Linked DNA regions of Saccharomyces cerevisiae S288C. The gene in region 3 interacts genetically with the main gene of each other region. Each region holds a gene or a part of one and is shown on either strand. Other genes may lie near its edges.

Region 1 (5,418 bases), on a different chromosome or scaffold from region 3:
ATTTTTTTAAAGATAAGAGACGGGGTTTACCCTTCGGAGGACTAAGCGAGATCTCCAAGTAAAGATCTCGCTTATCAAGAAAGCAGCCAAGTGTGGAACGTCCTTTTTTTTGGTTTCAAAAAGATATTCAACAGTTTACACTGCAGCTTTAATTGCCTCAAAAGGATATCATGAGGTGATCTAGGGTCAGAAGGGAAAGATTACAGCATCTTGAGTTGAATCACATCTGCAAAAGGTGGTATTATTGACGTTGCTCTTCCTTAATGGAAACTCATGGGGTTTGGAAAGGAGGTGCGGTAATCTATTTTTTTCGAACACAAAACCTAACCTTGAAAAGAAACTGTCCAATTTCATTGAACTTACCTCAGAACGGGCCGGAGTCTTTGCTTTCAGTCTAACATGGTCTAATTTCTTCGAAAAGCTTCATTTAATTGTTAGACTGTGGTTTTACAAGGAAAAAACCAGTGCTATACTGAAGCGATACCCAGAACTAATTACCTTGTGTGACGATTCGGCTCAGCGAAACGGACATGGTAAAATTGGGAATTTGAAAGCAGGCAGCAGCCTTGTACAGCGACATGACGATAGGTTTAGAATCCCCATCACGTACGAGTTGAAGAATTCTACGAAGGCTCTATGCGTTATTCCTCTATCGGTATAAAGTGTAGCGTTGTAGGGGGGATATTGGTGGTTTAGTTGAATTTGCGCAACGAAATTATAGAACTCATAAAAGTTCAATTCAATACTTGAAACCCTTAACGTTGGTTCGACCATCAATTGTTTGGACATAATAGTTTTATTCTGCGGCCGATTTCAAAATTTAGTAAATCAAATGTTGAAGCATCACCAGTAGGATGACCACTCCCATGACAAAACTCCGTCCCAAAGATAGCTTGATCATCCTAAGCGGGTCGCATTTTACTATCCCCAGTTCCGAAGAATAACAAGGCTCAATGCATATGCTGTTTATCGTGCTCACAAGGCGGTATGACGTTTTTAGCAATGTAATTATATTAAAAAGATCTTCAGTCACTATGAGTGGTTGATTGCCCCATAGAGAGCTATAAGCCGACGTGAAAGCTGCTGGTTCCAGCTTGGCTCATGTCGTCACCAGTCACTAGTCACTTGGTCGCATTCATTGCTACTCATCTGCGAGTGAGCATATTTGAGATCTGACTTGCCAAGGGATTAGAATCACGTAAGACTCTTGATCCTTAGAAGATATTTCTGACAAAGAACCACCTAAGCCATGCAAGTTTTTTTTTTCATTTGGTGGCGAAACAAAGGTGATGAAAGTTTCTTCTTGTACAAACGCCAATCCCGATAGGTGAGACAATTCTTGAAGTAATGGACCTCTGAGTAAGCATATCAGTCGAATGAAGTTCCAATATGCGTTGGCCAAGGAACAGCTAGGCAGCAACTCGCGCAGTGGCGTCAAAAAACTAATAAGTAAACACCACTGGCTTCCGGAATACTATTTCTCTGATCTCTCATTTTCTGTTGTACAGCAGTGGGACAGTAGAGCCATTGAAAAAACTACAATCATATCTTGTATGCGGCCCGCAAACCAAGAGATTTATCCTTTGAGACATTGTGAGACCCTCCGTTCGCAACCGTGCTCTCTGTTTTCATCACTATATGCACGCTCTTTCCAAAGCTCCTGCACTTTGCACGTGGCGGAGCCATCGCCCGGCTTCCATATGTACGGCTGCCACACCTAACTATTTCGGTTGCGGCCATATCTACCAGAAAGCACCGTTTCCCGTCCGATCAACTGTAGTTAAGCTGGTAAGAGCCTGACCGAGTAGTGTAGTGGGTGACCATACGCGAAACTCAGGTGCTGCAGTTGTTTTTTTTTTCGCGCACGAATACATCACGCAGCCTCGCCTTGACACTGCTCAAGGGATAAGGGGAAGGAGCTGAGATAGAACTGAGTTGGAGCGTTGCAGCGGCACGAGCAGTGAAAAGAGCGAAGAGAAGAGAAGCAGATAAAAGACCAAAGTAGCGATGATACTTCGATGTTTGGAGCGATTTTTCCTATGTGAATATTAGAAATCATATGTTTTGTATCAGCTGAACAGTGAATGATGTGCTCAATACTCAAATTCATCTTTTTGTTTGCTAAAAATAGCTTAACTGGCACATCATGAAAAGGATGTAGAAATTATAGAGTATATTTACTACTAAGAACTATATAAAAACACAGTGTGATGAAAAGTCACTGATCAGGCTTTAACCACCGTAGACGCCAGAAAAAACAGACCTAATCTGATCCATGCCGTAGCCGGAGTACAAACATAATTGTAGCAAAATACGCGATTTTTGAGGGTTTAGGTAGCCAGATCCAATGGCGTACTCTGGGGCATCATCTGGAGGAACTGTACCATCTGCTGTTCTTCTGCTGTGAACAATTGGTATACCATACTCTTCATAAAGTTGTTCGTTTACAATACTACCCGTAGCAGTCCAGGAACCAGCTCCAGAACCCGCCAACACGATACCTTTTGCGCCCAGGTCCTTGACGGCCTTTACTATTAGCTCAGGATTCAAGCCTTGATAGGAGTACAGAATAATGACTTCTGGAATTTCCGAAGGGTCTGTGAGGTTGGAAATGTCAAAAAATTGCCATCCATTTGGCTTGACTGGTGGGTAGTAAAACTCCACGTCATCATTTGAAAAGTAACCTAAATATCCCTGTTCATCCGCTCTGAATGTATCTAAAGAGTTGGCATTCATTTTCGTTGTCCAAAACCCAGAGGCAATACGATCGTTTAGAGTGATCATCGTGCCACGACCCAGTGATTTCTCAGAAGCAGCAATAGACACTGCTTGATATAAATTCATTGGGCCATCAGCAGACGTGGCAGTGGCTGGACGCATAGCGCCTGCGATACATACTGGCTTCTCTGAATTTATGGTCAAATCTAAGAAGAAAGCTGTCTCCTCCATAGTGTCGGTCCCATGAGTGACAACCGCACCAGCGTAGTCATCAGAGGCTAGTGCCTCGGAGATACCGTGATACAATGGGATCAGATGCGTATAGTTTAAAGAATTTGAACCAACGTTAGACACTTGAAGATAGTCCAGATTTGCCTTCTCAGCTAAAGATGGGACGGCTTCTATTAAATCATTTACGGTTAATCCCACGCTATAACCCGCCGTTGTTGCACTTGTCGAACCCTTGGAAGCGATAGTACCGCCGGTACCAAAAATTTTGATTGATGGCAAAGAAGAATTCTTCTCTTCACGAATTTTTAGTAGTGGAGCACCACTGGACATTGCGACAAAGAGAGAAAGTAAAAGGGTATTTAAAGATCTCATAGTTGGAGGTTGGTGAGTACCAGATTGCTTACAAAAGAATAGCGAGCCAACATTTGCTCTGCCTCAGGCCTCTTGGTGCTGCTTGAAGACTCATCTTATATGGCTTTTGTATGTCATGATTTGTTCTTGTACATTATGTGTTGATATTAAACAAATTGATTTTTTTTTTTTTGCGATAGCAAGCAGATAATGAAAGAGACAAGGACTTGGAACATCCGATAAGACTGCGCCGATATCGATCTTACAGTCCTTCCCTTGTGTCATGACTTTCGGAAAAGCATCCTCGTCGACTGGTAGTTTGCTGTCTGTCACGTGCTGAAGGGTCTGATACATTTTTTTAAAGATAAGAGACGGGGTTTACCTTCGGAGGACTAAGCGAGATCTCCAAGTAAAGATCTCGCTTATCAAGAAAGCAGCCAAGTGTGGAACGTCCTTTTTTTTGGTTTCAAAAAGATATTCAACAGTTTACACTGCAGCTTTAATTGCCTCAAAAGGATATCATGAGGTGATCTAGGGTCAGAAGGGAAAGATTACAGCATCTTGAGTTGAATCACATCTGCAAAAGGTGGTATTATTGACGTTGCTCTTCCTTAATGGAAACTCATGGGGTTTGGAAAGGAGGTGCGGTAATCTATTTTTTTCGAACACAAAACCTAACCTTGAAAAGAAACTGTCCAATTTCATTGAACTTACCTCAGAACGGGCCGGAGTCTTTGCTTTCAGTCTAACATGGTCTAATTTCTTCGAAAAGCTTCATTTAATTGTTAGACTGTGGTTTTACAAGGAAAAAACCAGTGCTATACTGAAGCGATACCCAGAACTAATTACCTTGTGTGACGATTCGGCTCAGCGAAACGGACATGGTAAAATTGGGAATTTGAAAGCAGGCAGCAGCCTTGTACAGCGACATGACGATAGGTTTAGAATCCCCATCACGTACGAGTTGAAGAATTCTACGAAGGCTCTATGCGTTATTCCTCTATCGGTATAAAGTGTAGCGTTGTAGGGGGGATATTGGTGGTTTAGTTGAATTTGCGCAACGAAATTATAGAACTCATAAAAGTTCAATTCAATACTTGAAACCCTTAACGTTGGTTCGACCATCAATTGTTTGGACATAATAGTTTTATTCTGCGGCCGATTTCAAAATTTAGTAAATCAAATGTTGAAGCATCACCAGTAGGATGACCACTCCCATGACAAAACTCCGTCCCAAAGATAGCTTGATCATCCTAAGCGGGTCGCATTTTACTATCCCCAGTTCCGAAGAATAACAAGGCTCAATGCATATGCTGTTTATCGTGCTCACAAGGCGGTATGACGTTTTTAGCAATGTAATTATATTAAAAAGATCTTCAGTCACTATGAGTGGTTGATTGCCCCATAGAGAGCTATAAGCCGACGTGAAAGCTGCTGGTTCCAGCTTGGCTCATGTCGTCACCAGTCACTAGTCACTTGGTCGCATTCATTGCTACTCATCTGCGAGTGAGCATATTTGAGATCTGACTTGCCAAGGGATTAGAATCACGTAAGACTCTTGATCCTTAGAAGATATTTCTGACAAAGAACCACCTAAGCCATGCAAGTTTTTTTTTTCATTTGGTGGCGAAACAAAGGTGATGAAAGTTTCTTCTTGTACAAACGCCAAGCCCGATAGGTGAGACAATTCTTGAAGTAATGGACCTCTGAGTAAGCATATCAGTCGAATGAAGTTCCAATATGCGTTGGCCAAGGAACAGCTAGGCAGCAACTCGCGCAGTGGCGTCAAAAAACTAATAAGTAAACACCACTGGCTTCCGGAATACTATTTCTCTGATCTCTCATTTTCTGTTGTACAGCAGTGGGACAGTAGAGCCATTGAAAAAACTACAATCATATCTTGTATGCGGCCCGCAAACCAAGAGATTTATCCTTTGTGAGAAATGGGTGAATGTTGAGATAATTGTTGGGATTCCATTGTTGATAAAGGCTATAATATTAGGTATACAGAATATACTAGAAGTTCTCCTCGAGGATATAGGAATCCTCAAAATGGAATCTATATTTCTACATACTAATATTACGATTATTCCTCATTCCGTTTTATATGTTTATATT
Region 2 (5,674 bases), on a different chromosome or scaffold from region 3:
TGATTCTACAACAAGTAACCTCTCAATTGAACAAAACATATCGGATTTTTAAAGAATTTAATCCAGAGTTTGATGGGAAAGTCCATTTAGTGGGCCATTCGTTGGGTAGTATGATATTATTTGATATTCTATCCAAACAAAAAAAATATGAATTAGAATTTCAAGTAGACAACCTGTTCTTTATTGGCTCACCAATTGGATTGTTAAAGTTAATTCAAAGAACAAAAATTGGTGACCGTCCCGAATTTCCCAATGACTTGGAGAGAAAATTAACCGTACAGAGACCGCAATGTAAGGACATTTATAATGTTTACCACGTCTGTGATCCCATTTCTTATAGGATGGAACCTCTTGTTAGTAAAGAAATGGCTCATTACGAACAAACTTATTTACCACATTGTAGTGAAGCTTATGGACTAACTTCTAAAGTTTTGGAATTTGGCGAAAACATATGGAAAGATTTGCCAGGTACTGATGAAAATAATTTGCAGTCCAAAAAAACTTCTCCAGAAAAAAAAGAGGTCAAGTTATCAGAAAATCTTACGAGAATGCTTACAGGTTTGAATTACACCGGACGTCTAGATTATGCTATGTCTCCAAGTCTGCTAGAAGTGGATTTTATATCAGCTATAAAATCACATGTTTCTTATTTCGAAGAACCGGATATTGCAGCGTTTATCCTAAAAGAAATTTTAAGTAAACATGAAAATGCATCAGAAATATATGTAAAAAGAAAGACTGGTTGATCAGTAAACGCAAGGCACAAGTTTTTTTTAACTTTTTTCTTTACTGTCTATTATAGTTCCACTGTGTAAGGTTGTATTCTTTCCGTACTTCAACTTGCGGGTAACAGGATTGACACCTTTTCAATTTTTTCCGTTATTTTGGATTAGAAATTTTCGGTAAGCTCATCGAGTATTGTAAAAGAGCAATGCCCTTTGCTTATTAGATGTTGAGGGGCATATCTATTGTTAATATAGATTGATACAGCTGTGGAGATTATTTCTAGATATACGATGAAGTACATTATTGAGCATATGGAGGAAGGGTTTAGTGAATGGGTCATTTTAGAGTATAGCCAAATCCTGAGAGAAGTAGGAGCTGAAAACTTGATTTTATCATCGTTACCAGAGAGTACCACGGAAAAGGACATCCCTCAAAGGCTACTAAAACTTGGTTTAAGATGGACTACAAAGGATTTGAAGGGCATTAACGAAGATTTCAAGGATTTGGAACTGTTAAAAGATGGCAGAGTCTGTCTATTGGACCCTAGGGCTACAATCGATTTACAGCCGGAGGATGCTACGAAATTCGACTATTTCGTATTTGGTGGCATATTGGGTGATCATCCTCCAAGAGATCGTACCAAAGAACTAAAGACTGCCTATCCGAATCTTTTAATTAGCAGAAGACTAGGTGATAAACAAATGACTACGGATACTGCCATAAGAACAACACAGTTGATTATCAAAGACAGGATTGCATTTGAAGACATCAAGTTCATTGACTACCCTGAATTTAGGTTCAATAAAAATGAGGCCACGGAAATGCCATTTAGATACGTTTTAGATAAAGAAGGTAAACCTATTTTGCCTGAAGGGATGTTGGATTTGATCAAGAAGGATTCTGCTCAAAGTTTGGACGATCTGTTGATGTAGATGAGAACAGTCCTTTAAGTAACATTCTATGGTTGTAATAAGTGATGATGCTTCCTTGTCAAAGAGTTAGTTGAAAAGTTTAGGGTCGTAGCATTAATTATATTGTATATAGTTCAAAAACGACATTCAATGAAAAAATCAAGTTTATTAGCCAATGAATATTTCGTATTTTGCGTTAGTAGCGCTACCAAGACTTCTGAAAAGTGCATGCAAGAAAAATAAAAACAAGGAACCGTTTACTTTTATGATATCATCATTGTCAGGCCAAATAGGATAAAATTGATTGGTTGTATTATGCTTTTTAATTGAAAAAAAAAGTAGAAACTTTTATTATTTTATTTAAATTAATTTCTTTACATTACTTGCATCTAAAACCAAACGAGCTGGTGACTTCAAGCACTGCACTAGTTGCCATGGCTTTGCTAATTCAGACGACCCCCTTGAGGTGAAAAAATAGTCTCAGTAATGAAACAATCATAGGCAATTAGTTCGATTTTTTATAATTATCTTCCAGCCTTTCAAATATTGAAAGGCCATCAACTATCACTTACACCTGAGTGTTGTCATTGATCCGTAAAGTAAAAAGAGGCAAGTTTTGTGCATATTCGTATCATGCACAATGGCCTAAGGCAAGTATTTTCAGTGTTTTTTTTTTTTCATTGCCGTTTTGCTATTCAGAATATATTGAATTATATGTATAATGCATACTTAATAGAAAGAAGGACGCTAATTTTCGTTATAGAACAGTAGTTTCAAAAAGTGCTTCAAGTTTATAGAAATCAGTGCATCCCTTCACTGAACGATGAAGAACACCACCATTTCAGAAATTTTTATACATAATCAGTTGGCTTTCGTATCCTGCCTCGTATCTTTCTCTAAATCATTTAAAAATCCTTCAATACTCTTTACGACATCATCGTCCTTTCCCATAGCATCTGAGTTTGAACTTTCACCGCTTTTTTGTTGGCTCAAGGCAGAACTATTCTTGCCTTCATTTTTGGTTTTTGGTTTCGTGGTAAAGTAAGATGCCACTGCAGCAGTAGCGATAAACGTAGATATAGCCAATACGTGAGGTTGAACCGTCTTCCCAAATACTTTGTATGCAGCACCCATTGAGATAGCTATATTTATTTTTGTATATCTTATGTTTAGAAACAGTAGCGACCTTTCTTACTTGTTCCTTCAAAACTTGACTTAGATAACTATTTACCCTTAAACCGTTAGCTCTGTATTATGGACTGTGAAATTACACCTCGTTACCCGAAGTTCTATTATATTTTCAATCCATACTCCTATGATCTCTTCATTGGGAAAAAAAGGTCCACTTTCTCCTGGATTGCTCGAAGGCTTTCCGTAAAGAAAATACCTTTTATTTTTCTTTGCTTTCTTTCTCCATTAAATAGTAAACGCCTCTTTCTGAGGCAGCTGGCTAAAAAAATGTAACAAGGAATTTTATTTTATTACGGTTCAGCAAAGGCCGTAACGATAGTTGTATTATTTTCGTTCATATGTAGCAGCGATGGTAGCATTTTTTATTGTATAAATTGTGGCTTGCGTCGATTATCTTATTATGCCACTCATAATAAAAAGTTACTCTCAAAATGTCAATATTCAATAATGCATGTCTGTCTTTTTAATTTAGTACATACGTAGGATTAGGTATTGGAAGCAATCATAATGAGTTCTAAAGTTGTTATTTCTCACTTATTGCACCTCTCGAAGTTCTCTCATTAGCCGCCCAATTCTCATTCGTGTGAAGGTCATTAACGGGGTAATGCCCGTCATCAATGATAGAAATTTCTAGAATCTTGAAGGAATGGGAAAAAGAAGCTTGATTATGTATAAAATTAGTCAAAACGCTTATACAGTACAAACTTATTATGTGCTAGGTTTAAAATAATTTCTGATAGAAGCCATTGATCGAAAATATATTGAATCTACAGAAAAAAAAGAATGTCCACCCTTTTGAAGTCTGCTAAATCTATCGTTCCATTGATGGACCGTGTCCTTGTCCAAAGAATCAAGGCACAAGCAAAGACAGCATCCGGGTTGTATTTACCTGAAAAGAACGTGGAGAAGTTAAACCAAGCTGAAGTTGTTGCCGTAGGCCCGGGCTTTACTGATGCTAATGGTAATAAGGTTGTTCCTCAAGTTAAAGTTGGTGACCAAGTTTTGATTCCACAGTTTGGTGGTTCTACCATTAAATTGGGTAACGACGATGAAGTTATTCTTTTCAGGGACGCTGAAATCCTGGCTAAGATTGCCAAGGACTAAGAATGATGTCTTCTTCAACAGAGATTTTATATACATACTCTATATGTATGTACCTGTAAATAGGCCATTATGTATGACAGGAAAAAAAAATAATTGAACTCAAATTTCTTCTGCTATTCAGTTGCTGCCCCCAATTGTCTGCTAATAAAATTGATCTATTCATCAATAGGAATTTTAGGGACACTATGTGTACAAACTATCCGCTCATATTTTGCCGAATAAGAACAATGATTTCTTCTTTTTTTTCTTCTTCTTTTTCTTGTCGTTACGATCATCACTTTCAAAAACATCGCCACTGCTACTATTCCTTCTACTGGATGATTTATTTCCAGAGGAACTTCCACTTTTAAACACCTTAAAAATCCCAACTCCACCCCCAGTGAAGGTGTTCACAGTACTAAAACTAGACGAGCTTTTCTTTGACCCTGCACTACTTGAGGAGTCATTAGTTTTGACTTTTCTTAACGCACCGGCACTTTTAACTTTCCTCAAAGGAATGCTATTATCAACACTACTGCTTTTATCAGATGGATCAAAGGAATTTTCTTTGTCGAAGGAAATACTGTGCCTTATATCAGGCAGATTTCTGGCTTTGCCAAGGGCGGCTCTTCCATCTTTGTGTTTTACAGAGGTTGCAAACTTGATTTGGGACGTAGGCGAGCTACTGAGTTTAATAGTTGTTGTGGTATTTTGTTCCTCTGAGGAAGAATATGGTATTAAAGATTTTCTAAACTTTGTGTTTTTCGACCCATTGCCTATCAAAGCATTCTTAAAGCTGGAAATTTGGTCACCGTGACTGGACTGCGATACATTTTTACCAGGCAACGTCTCTATCGCTAAAGAAGACTTCAATGACTCTCTAATTATGATATCAATTTTCTTCAACAAAAGTTTTTCCTTAGTACATTCTCTATCTTTCTCATCGTCTTGTAATTTTTCTATATCACCCGTGATCTTCCTTCTTGAATGCTGGGCGAGACCGGTCAATTTTCTTGGAATGGAATCATTAGAGGTGTTGAACTGCTTTTTGATGTAGCCTTGCCTTTTGAAATCTTCGGCGTACGAATCTACGGAAATATGTGAAGAAATATCTGATATTGTATTTTTTTTGAACATTGAACTGCTCATGCTCTCAACGTCAGTGTGTTCGTGCTTCATATGATTTTTTGAGACATAATGTTCATTTACTTCTCTTTGTAGATTCAGTTCGAACGAATACATTCGTTTCGAGGGAACAACAAATGTGGGAATCGGATAACTAACAGGAAAGACATCTGTCAGCTTTTTGGATTTATATGTAATAAGATTCTCATTTCGCTCGTGCTTTAAAGTAGCAAGAACTAAGAAATCTGGAGTATGGACATTAATGACATCTACCAGACTTTTTTTAATTTTGCCTACAATTATTTCTAAAGTAATTTTGACGGATATTTTGACCACTTTTACTAGCTGTAAAATATAATCAAAAATGTCGTTTAATTTTTGATCTATTACTTCTTTTTGATATCCCGGTGCCCATTCTGTATCATCTTTTGCAGTTTTTTTCCTGTTAGAAATCATTTTTGGCAGTGTAGTTATGACAACAATGTGATCAAGATTTCGTGCAAACTTGTAGACTGTCCAGTCTAGGGCAACCCACGTATGTTTTTTTCCGTTAATGTGACAAACTATTGTCTTAGGGTTATTGGGATATCCGACCTTTTGTTGAAGTATTTTATGCTTTCTTTTTTGTTCTTTTGTAC
Region 3 (6,986 bases):
CCCAGTGATAGTGCAGTACTACTTCTGTGTATTCCCGATTATTACAACGGCGGAGTTTTTTTCGCATAAACTCAGACTACTAAGTAACTCTCGAGCATCGTGAAGATCCTGATACTTTATCTATGCATTACGTACGGAACGGAGTGAGGCCTTTCTCCAGAAAAATCGTTGAGATGGCATGTAGGTTCTAGATTTGTGACGACACTCAACAAGAAAAGTTTGAGGTGAATATCTTACCCGCGACATCTGGAGCGAGAAGAAAGCCGTAATCGATAACGTATTCTCTCAATGCTGTGGCGTTTCAGTAGTATTTTGTTATTACCGACGAAAACGGTTCCTCAAGAAATAAAATATATCTAGAGGTAAGTTGCAAAACGCTAGACTATTTATGGCAAGATTAGTATTTGCTGTCGTGATATCATAAGTAGAGACACATGTTCAGCTTCTCACTTGAATTTAGGTTAGAACAAAATCTTTAAACAGCAGTTACAATGAATGTTTGGGAGACCTAGTCAGTCTCCATACTGCCAAGAAAAAGGTTAGTCGAACTGGAAAAACAAGGCTGTACTGCACCCTAATGTTTCTTAGTAAGCAATTCGCTATCGACGCCGAATACCATGAACATCAACCTTGTGAAAGCTTTCGCATATTGGCGCTCAAGAGATATAGACGGTACTAGTGAAAGAGAGACAAGGCCGCCGGATTACTTGCTCTCGTCATTGTAATTGTTCAATTTCACAGACATTTCTCTGGCATGTATCCATTGGGGCACCACAATAAGGGAATATTTTACAATATCGTAAGCTGTTCGTAATACGCGGCTTCTCTTTACTCAAAGCCCAATGAATCCTGGCTTCGAAAATCATACAAACTGTGAAATCTACTTATTTGAAATGACAAACACTGCTTCCCAGTCTGGAGGCTCTCTTTGAGGATAACTAACATGTATGGCTAAAAATAGTTAAAATAATTGAGACGACATTGCACTTGCTATAATCAGACTTCAATAACATATGCATACAAGAAACTTCTCTTTTGAAATAGGAGCGGGGCTCCATCACAAAGAGATTGAAATTTGATACTAGCTCTAAAATCGAGGCAGGGATGTTCCAATGATCGAGTTTGTCATGAAATATAAGGATGTTCACGTCAAGCTCGAGAAATGTTTCAAAATACCGCGAAATAACTCAAAAAGCTGGGTCACGAAGAAATGATTCTAGAAACAGGCGCTTATGCTCTTATATAATGAGATGTCTACATCGTCAGAACTAAGTGCGAAGAATACGGCCTACATTAGAGATTCTTCAAGGTAGTGAAACGTATTCGTGGCAGTGGTTATGGAACTGCCTTACGGTTGATTCAAAAGACTCATTGCATACTCAATTTAAAACGGCTCAAATCATTTGAAAAAATAATAGGCAATATAAAATAGAGAAATCACAGCACCTTGACGGACTGATATTACGAATAACGAGTATCATTGCCAAAGTTTGGCGTATGGGCGACGTGCGTCCATGCAAATCTACAGTAGATATTTTCAAAAGAGATCATTGTCAAAAAGATAACTAACTACTCATGCTTTGAGGGCATGCAAAGTTTCCAGAAAAAAAAAGATGAACCACACTTAAGCTGAAGCAAATTATAAGTGTTGAAATGACTAGGCGCAGTTAATACGCAACTCAATCAGTCAACACAGGCTGGTTACTTTCTAAGTTACAGCATAAGTTTAGAGTAATTATTGAAATCTGTTGATATAGGTTGATTTCTTAGATGCATGAAATGCAGCAAGATCTTCATATGATTTCAGAGATTAGTCAAAAAGTTGTTAACAGTCATGCATAATATCACTAATTGGTAGAACAAGAATCAACTACTTTATTTGTCAATATTTTCAGAGAAAAATTGATGTATAGGGTTGACCATAAAATAATGAATGACACCATTTTTTTTTTGAAAGAGAAAACAAGATACAAACATTTAAAATATGCTGTTGAGTTCAATGCCTTCCATGAATTAATAAGATTAGGAAAAAAAATTACAATACATTCTATACTTCTAATACTACGATCTTTATTGAAATCGAATCCGAAATAAGAGAATCATAAAACTTAGATTGCTATCCTAGAACTTGTTCATAGTATCAGAGAATGTGCAGATCTTCTAAAAAGGAATTGAGACTATTCATAGGTAAGAAAACAGCGGGGAAAAGAAAGTTAACACCTGTTTGTTGACTTGCGAGAAAAAAGAGATTGGAATGGATTTAAACACTCCGATTTAATTTAAAGAAAACAATGGCTATTCAAAAAATCTTCCTGGACAAATTATACTTCCAGACAACACAGGGGAACGGAGAAGGAATCAAGAAAAGTAATTGTAGATTGCAGAAAGAACAATTAAAAGCTGCAAGAAGCATTACTTTTTAGCTTAATTTGCGGTACTTCATCAATTCGTATATCTATAAAAATATATTCAGAGACACAACTAGTTCACCTTCAGTTGGAGTATTCAATTTTTTAAAAAGTTCAAAAATGAAAGCCTTTAAAGCTGTTATGTTTGGCTTCTAGTGTGTACGAGCAATTCTAGTACCCAGCAGCTGTAACAAATCCATCGAGTAGTGCAGCAAGACCAACTGCTCCTGGATCTGGTAATCCACCTTCGCTGTCGAGTTTTCTCAGCTCCTCCTTAGCCACGTAAGAAGCACGCCCAACAAGGGCATCCATCTTCCTTGTCTTTTCGGCACCATCATAAGCAGCTTGGGCGGCGGCTCTGGGACCCTTCCCGGCTTTCAGCGCTTCGACAAAAGGTTGCAGAGCATCGATCAGAGTCCTGTAACCAGGACGGGCTCTCGTATACTTATACAAAGCATCTAGTGCAACGTTTGATGCCTTTTTGAAAGTTTCCGCAGTAAGTTCCTTGTCCCCAGAATCCCTAACTCCTTGTGCGAGAGCAGAAAGATAGATAGAGTACAGACCACCGGACGTACCACCCATAGAATCCTCAACCATATACGCAATATCTTCGATACCAAGAGCAGCATCCTCGAGGCGCAACGTATGGTTTTTAATAGCTTCTTCCAATGCTTCACCACCGGACACAAGAGTAGTTCCGCAATCACCATCTCCTGCAATGGTATCGTACCAAGTAACCTTTGGTTCAACCTCGTTAATTTTTGCAATCCCAGCAAGCAAAATTTTAGCAAAAGTGTCATAATCAGCTTTCACACCCGAACCTTTTTCATTCCTCAATGTCTTTAAAGAGGGGGCGGTGGGAACCTGCCCTTTGGCAAGTACCTCCCAATCTTTGGCAGAATGGTACATTTGATTCCATCCACTCGCTGTGGTAGGATAATCGAAATACTTAAGGATATCGCCACCAGCTTTTGAAGCGTTCATAAGAGTGATACCAAACCCAGGACCATTCAATGCAGTAATGAATGCTCCAGTAATCGTTCTCTTGGGCACAATTTGATACTTATCAATCAATTGTTCAGAAATGACCTCTGCAGCATAACCCAATTCTAGATTAGACATACCACCCATGTTGTTAACCATAAGAACTACGTCCTCTTTGGGCTCAAACTTCACATAAGAACGGTCTTCATCCTCATCGAGAAGAAGAGGAAGCATCTGGGAAACGAGCTCAGAAATCGATGGCAGCGGAGAAGACTTATAGGTACCAGACTCGTTATGAATACCCATACCGATTTCATACTCATTCTCGCCCAAAATGGCTTCAGGTTTGTGGCCAGGAACCGTGCAGTGATCAAGAGATGCCGCAATTGTGACACTATTGTCAACTACTGACTGAGCAACTTCGGCAACTTCTGCCAACTCCAGTCCATGAGAAGCGGCTGCCCCAGCAATTTTATGCACCAATACGGTGGCTCCGAGACCTCGACGCCCGACTAAAGAACCTTTCTTCTTACCGACAGAGACATCATCTCCTACAGCAACCAGTTCGACTTTCATTCCAGCAGCTTTAGCTCTTTCAGCAGCGAGACCAAAATGTATAATATCACCGGTGTAATTTTTTACAATGATCAAGGTACCCTTAGGAGATTCAACAGCTTTAATAGCAGAATAGATCTGTTTAGTTGAAGGAGAAGCAAAAATGGCACCTGCTGCAATCGCATCTAAGGCACCTTCACCAACAAAACCGGCATGCGTTGGCTCATGACCACTGCCACCTCCAGAAACCAATGAAACTTTAGGAGGGTTCCCTGAATTAGGAGCTGACGCAGTCCGGAAAACCACTCTGTCGTGCTTAATCACTGTAAGGCCGGGATTGCTTCGAGCAAGGCCAAGTAGGTAGGGAGTAACGATGTTTCCATCTGATTTGAATTGTTTGTGAGACATGATTATTTAGTCAATTGTAGTTGGGTTTTGTCAGATTTTGAGGTAAAATACACTTTACAGACAATACTAGAAAAAAAAAGGGCTGATCTGGGTTCATTTATATATATTTAATGATCCAAAGTTTGAAAATTCAATCACACATTGCGGTATTTTCCCCTTCTCGTATTGTTGAGATCCTTATACAATATCAAGTACTTAATTATCCAACTATGGTGACGTAAGAATTTACTTGGCTCAATATCTCCCTATTTGGTACTACGATACGATTTCATGAAATTATGAGTTAAATAATTTAGAATCTAGTTATGGCCTGGCGGGAATTGTTTCTGTGCAGGGATTTACTCACAATCACCCTCTGCGGGAATAATATGCATAGGTTGTGATTAATTTTTTAAATTAAGTTCCATCAGAAGGCCTAGTTTTCTCCGTTGATAACTCCGCTCCGGAATATCATAATTTTCCGGTACCCCACTTACCCCGGAAATTTGAGTTATAAACGTTGTTTGAGCTTTACCTAGTCTTGGTCGATCAAAAGTTCTGGTACCTTTTCACCATGTCTCCCCCTTATTCATATAAAAAGAAGCGTATAATCGCACAGTATAACGCTCCTCTGATATATGATCTAGACCCAAGTAATGAGTTACGAATCTGGGAGGTCATCCTCCTCTTCCGAGAGTACACGGCCACCAACGCTAAAAGAAGAACCTAATGGTAAAATAGCTTGGGAAGAAAGTGTCAAAAAATCTAGGGAAAATAACGAAAATGACAGCACTCTCTTGAGGCGAAAGCTAGGTGAGACTCGAAAAGCAATTGAAACTGGAGGATCATCGAGAAATAAACTTTCTGCTTTGACACCCTTGAAAAAAGTGGTTGACGAGAGGAAGGATTCGGTACAACCACAGGTCCCTTCCATGGGTTTTACTTATTCTTTGCCTAATTTGAAGACTTTAAACAGTTTTTCAGATGCTGAGCAAGCACGTATAATGCAAGATTATCTATCCAGGGGGGTAAATCAAGGCAACAGTAATAATTATGTAGACCCACTATATCGGCAATTAAATCCAACTATGGGTAGTAGCAGGAACAGGCCTGTTTGGAGTTTAAATCAGCCGTTACCGCATGTATTGGATCGAGGCTTGGCAGCAAAGATGATACAAAAGAATATGGATGCAAGGTCCCGCGCATCATCGAGACGAGGGTCGACCGATATTTCAAGGGGGGGTTCTACTACGTCAGTGAAAGACTGGAAAAGGCTCCTTAGAGGTGCAGCACCGGGTAAAAAGCTTGGTGACATCGAAGCTCAAACGCAACGCGATAATACTGTTGGTGCAGATGTGAAACCTACTAAGTTAGAGCCTGAAAACCCACAAAAGCCCTCTAACACGCATATTGAGAATGTTTCACGTAAGAAAAAGCGTACTTCGCATAATGTCAATTTTTCATTAGGCGATGAAAGCTACGCATCCTCCATAGCCGATGCAGAATCCAGAAAATTAAAGAACATGCAAACCCTCGATGGTTCTACTCCGGTTTATACGAAGCTTCCTGAAGAACTTATTGAAGAGGAAAATAAAAGTACGAGTGCATTAGATGGTAATGAAATTGGTGCCTCAGAAGATGAAGACGCGGATATAATGACATTTCCTAACTTTTGGGCAAAAATTCGCTATCATATGCGAGAACCGTTTGCGGAGTTTCTCGGGACACTAGTTCTTGTCATTTTTGGTGTTGGTGGTAATCTTCAAGCAACTGTAACAAAAGGTAGTGGTGGTTCCTATGAATCCCTATCATTTGCATGGGGGTTCGGTTGTATGCTTGGTGTTTACGTCGCAGGCGGTATTAGTGGTGGTCATATTAACCCTGCTGTTACGATTTCAATGGCAATTTTTCGAAAATTCCCCTGGAAAAAGGTGCCCGTATATATTGTTGCTCAGATTATCGGTGCATATTTTGGAGGAGCTATGGCTTATGGTTATTTTTGGAGCTCTATCACAGAATTTGAGGGAGGTCCGCACATAAGAACAACGGCGACCGGTGCGTGTTTGTTTACTGATCCAAAGTCTTACGTCACGTGGAGAAATGCCTTCTTTGACGAATTCATAGGAGCCTCTATACTTGTGGGTTGTTTGATGGCGCTATTGGATGATAGTAATGCTCCACCTGGCAATGGTATGACCGCATTAATTATTGGATTCTTAGTCGCTGCAATTGGTATGGCCCTTGGATATCAAACAAGTTTCACAATCAATCCTGCAAGAGATCTCGGTCCTCGCATATTTGCTTCCATGATTGGCTATGGTCCACATGCTTTTCATCTCACACATTGGTGGTGGACATGGGGAGCCTGGGGTGGTCCAATTGCCGGCGGTATTGCTGGAGCACTCATATATGACATTTTCATTTTTACTGGATGCGAATCCCCAGTCAACTACCCAGACAACGGTTATATTGAGAATAGGGTAGGTAAACTTTTACATGCGGAGTTCCACCAGAATGATGGCACTGTCTCAGATGAATCTGGTGTTAACAGCAACAGCAACACTGGCAGCAAGAAATCTGTGCCTACTTCGTCATAATTAATATTTTCAATTTTTTACGATTTATAACCTAATTATTAATTTCACGAACTTA

The links. Genes that interact genetically often act in the same process or in processes that back each other up.
Region 1: mutations in DAK2 (region 3) and YLR156C-A together harm fitness more than expected from each alone (negative genetic interaction), as found in Saccharomyces cerevisiae (one large-scale study listed by BioGRID).
Region 2: mutations in DAK2 (region 3) and HSP10 together harm fitness more than expected from each alone (negative genetic interaction), as found in Saccharomyces cerevisiae (one large-scale study listed by BioGRID).

What each region holds. Positions count from the first base shown.
Region 1 is NC_001144.5:470,737-476,154, forward strand, and holds YLR156C-A (uncharacterized protein), read right to left. Parts: upstream 1,875-5,418; coding exon 1,743-1,874; downstream 1-1,742. Other genes in the region: YLR156W (uncharacterized protein), read left to right, coding at 1,377-1,721; asparaginase ASP3-2, read right to left, coding at 2,233-3,321; YLR157W-D (uncharacterized protein), read left to right, coding at 5,028-5,240.
Region 2 is NC_001147.6:368,782-374,455, reverse strand, and holds HSP10 (Hsp10p), read left to right. Parts: upstream 1-3,611; coding exon 3,612-3,932; downstream 3,933-5,674. Other genes in the region: DDL1 (putative carboxylic ester hydrolase), read left to right, coding at 1-746; protein-arginine N-methyltransferase SFM1, read left to right, coding at 1,017-1,658; MCO10 (Mco10p), read right to left, coding at 2,499-2,771; YOR019W (uncharacterized protein), read right to left, coding at 4,137-5,674. UniProt on the Saccharomyces cerevisiae protein: Eukaryotic CPN10 homolog which is essential for mitochondrial protein biogenesis, together with CPN60. Binds to CPN60 in the presence of Mg-ATP and suppresses the ATPase activity of the latter.
Region 3 is NC_001138.5:20,792-27,777, reverse strand, and holds DAK2 (dihydroxyacetone kinase), read right to left. Parts: upstream 4,356-6,986; coding exon 2,580-4,355; downstream 1-2,579. Other genes in the region: AQY3 (Aqy3p), read left to right, coding at 4,991-6,931. UniProt on the Saccharomyces cerevisiae protein: Catalyzes both the phosphorylation of dihydroxyacetone and of glyceraldehyde.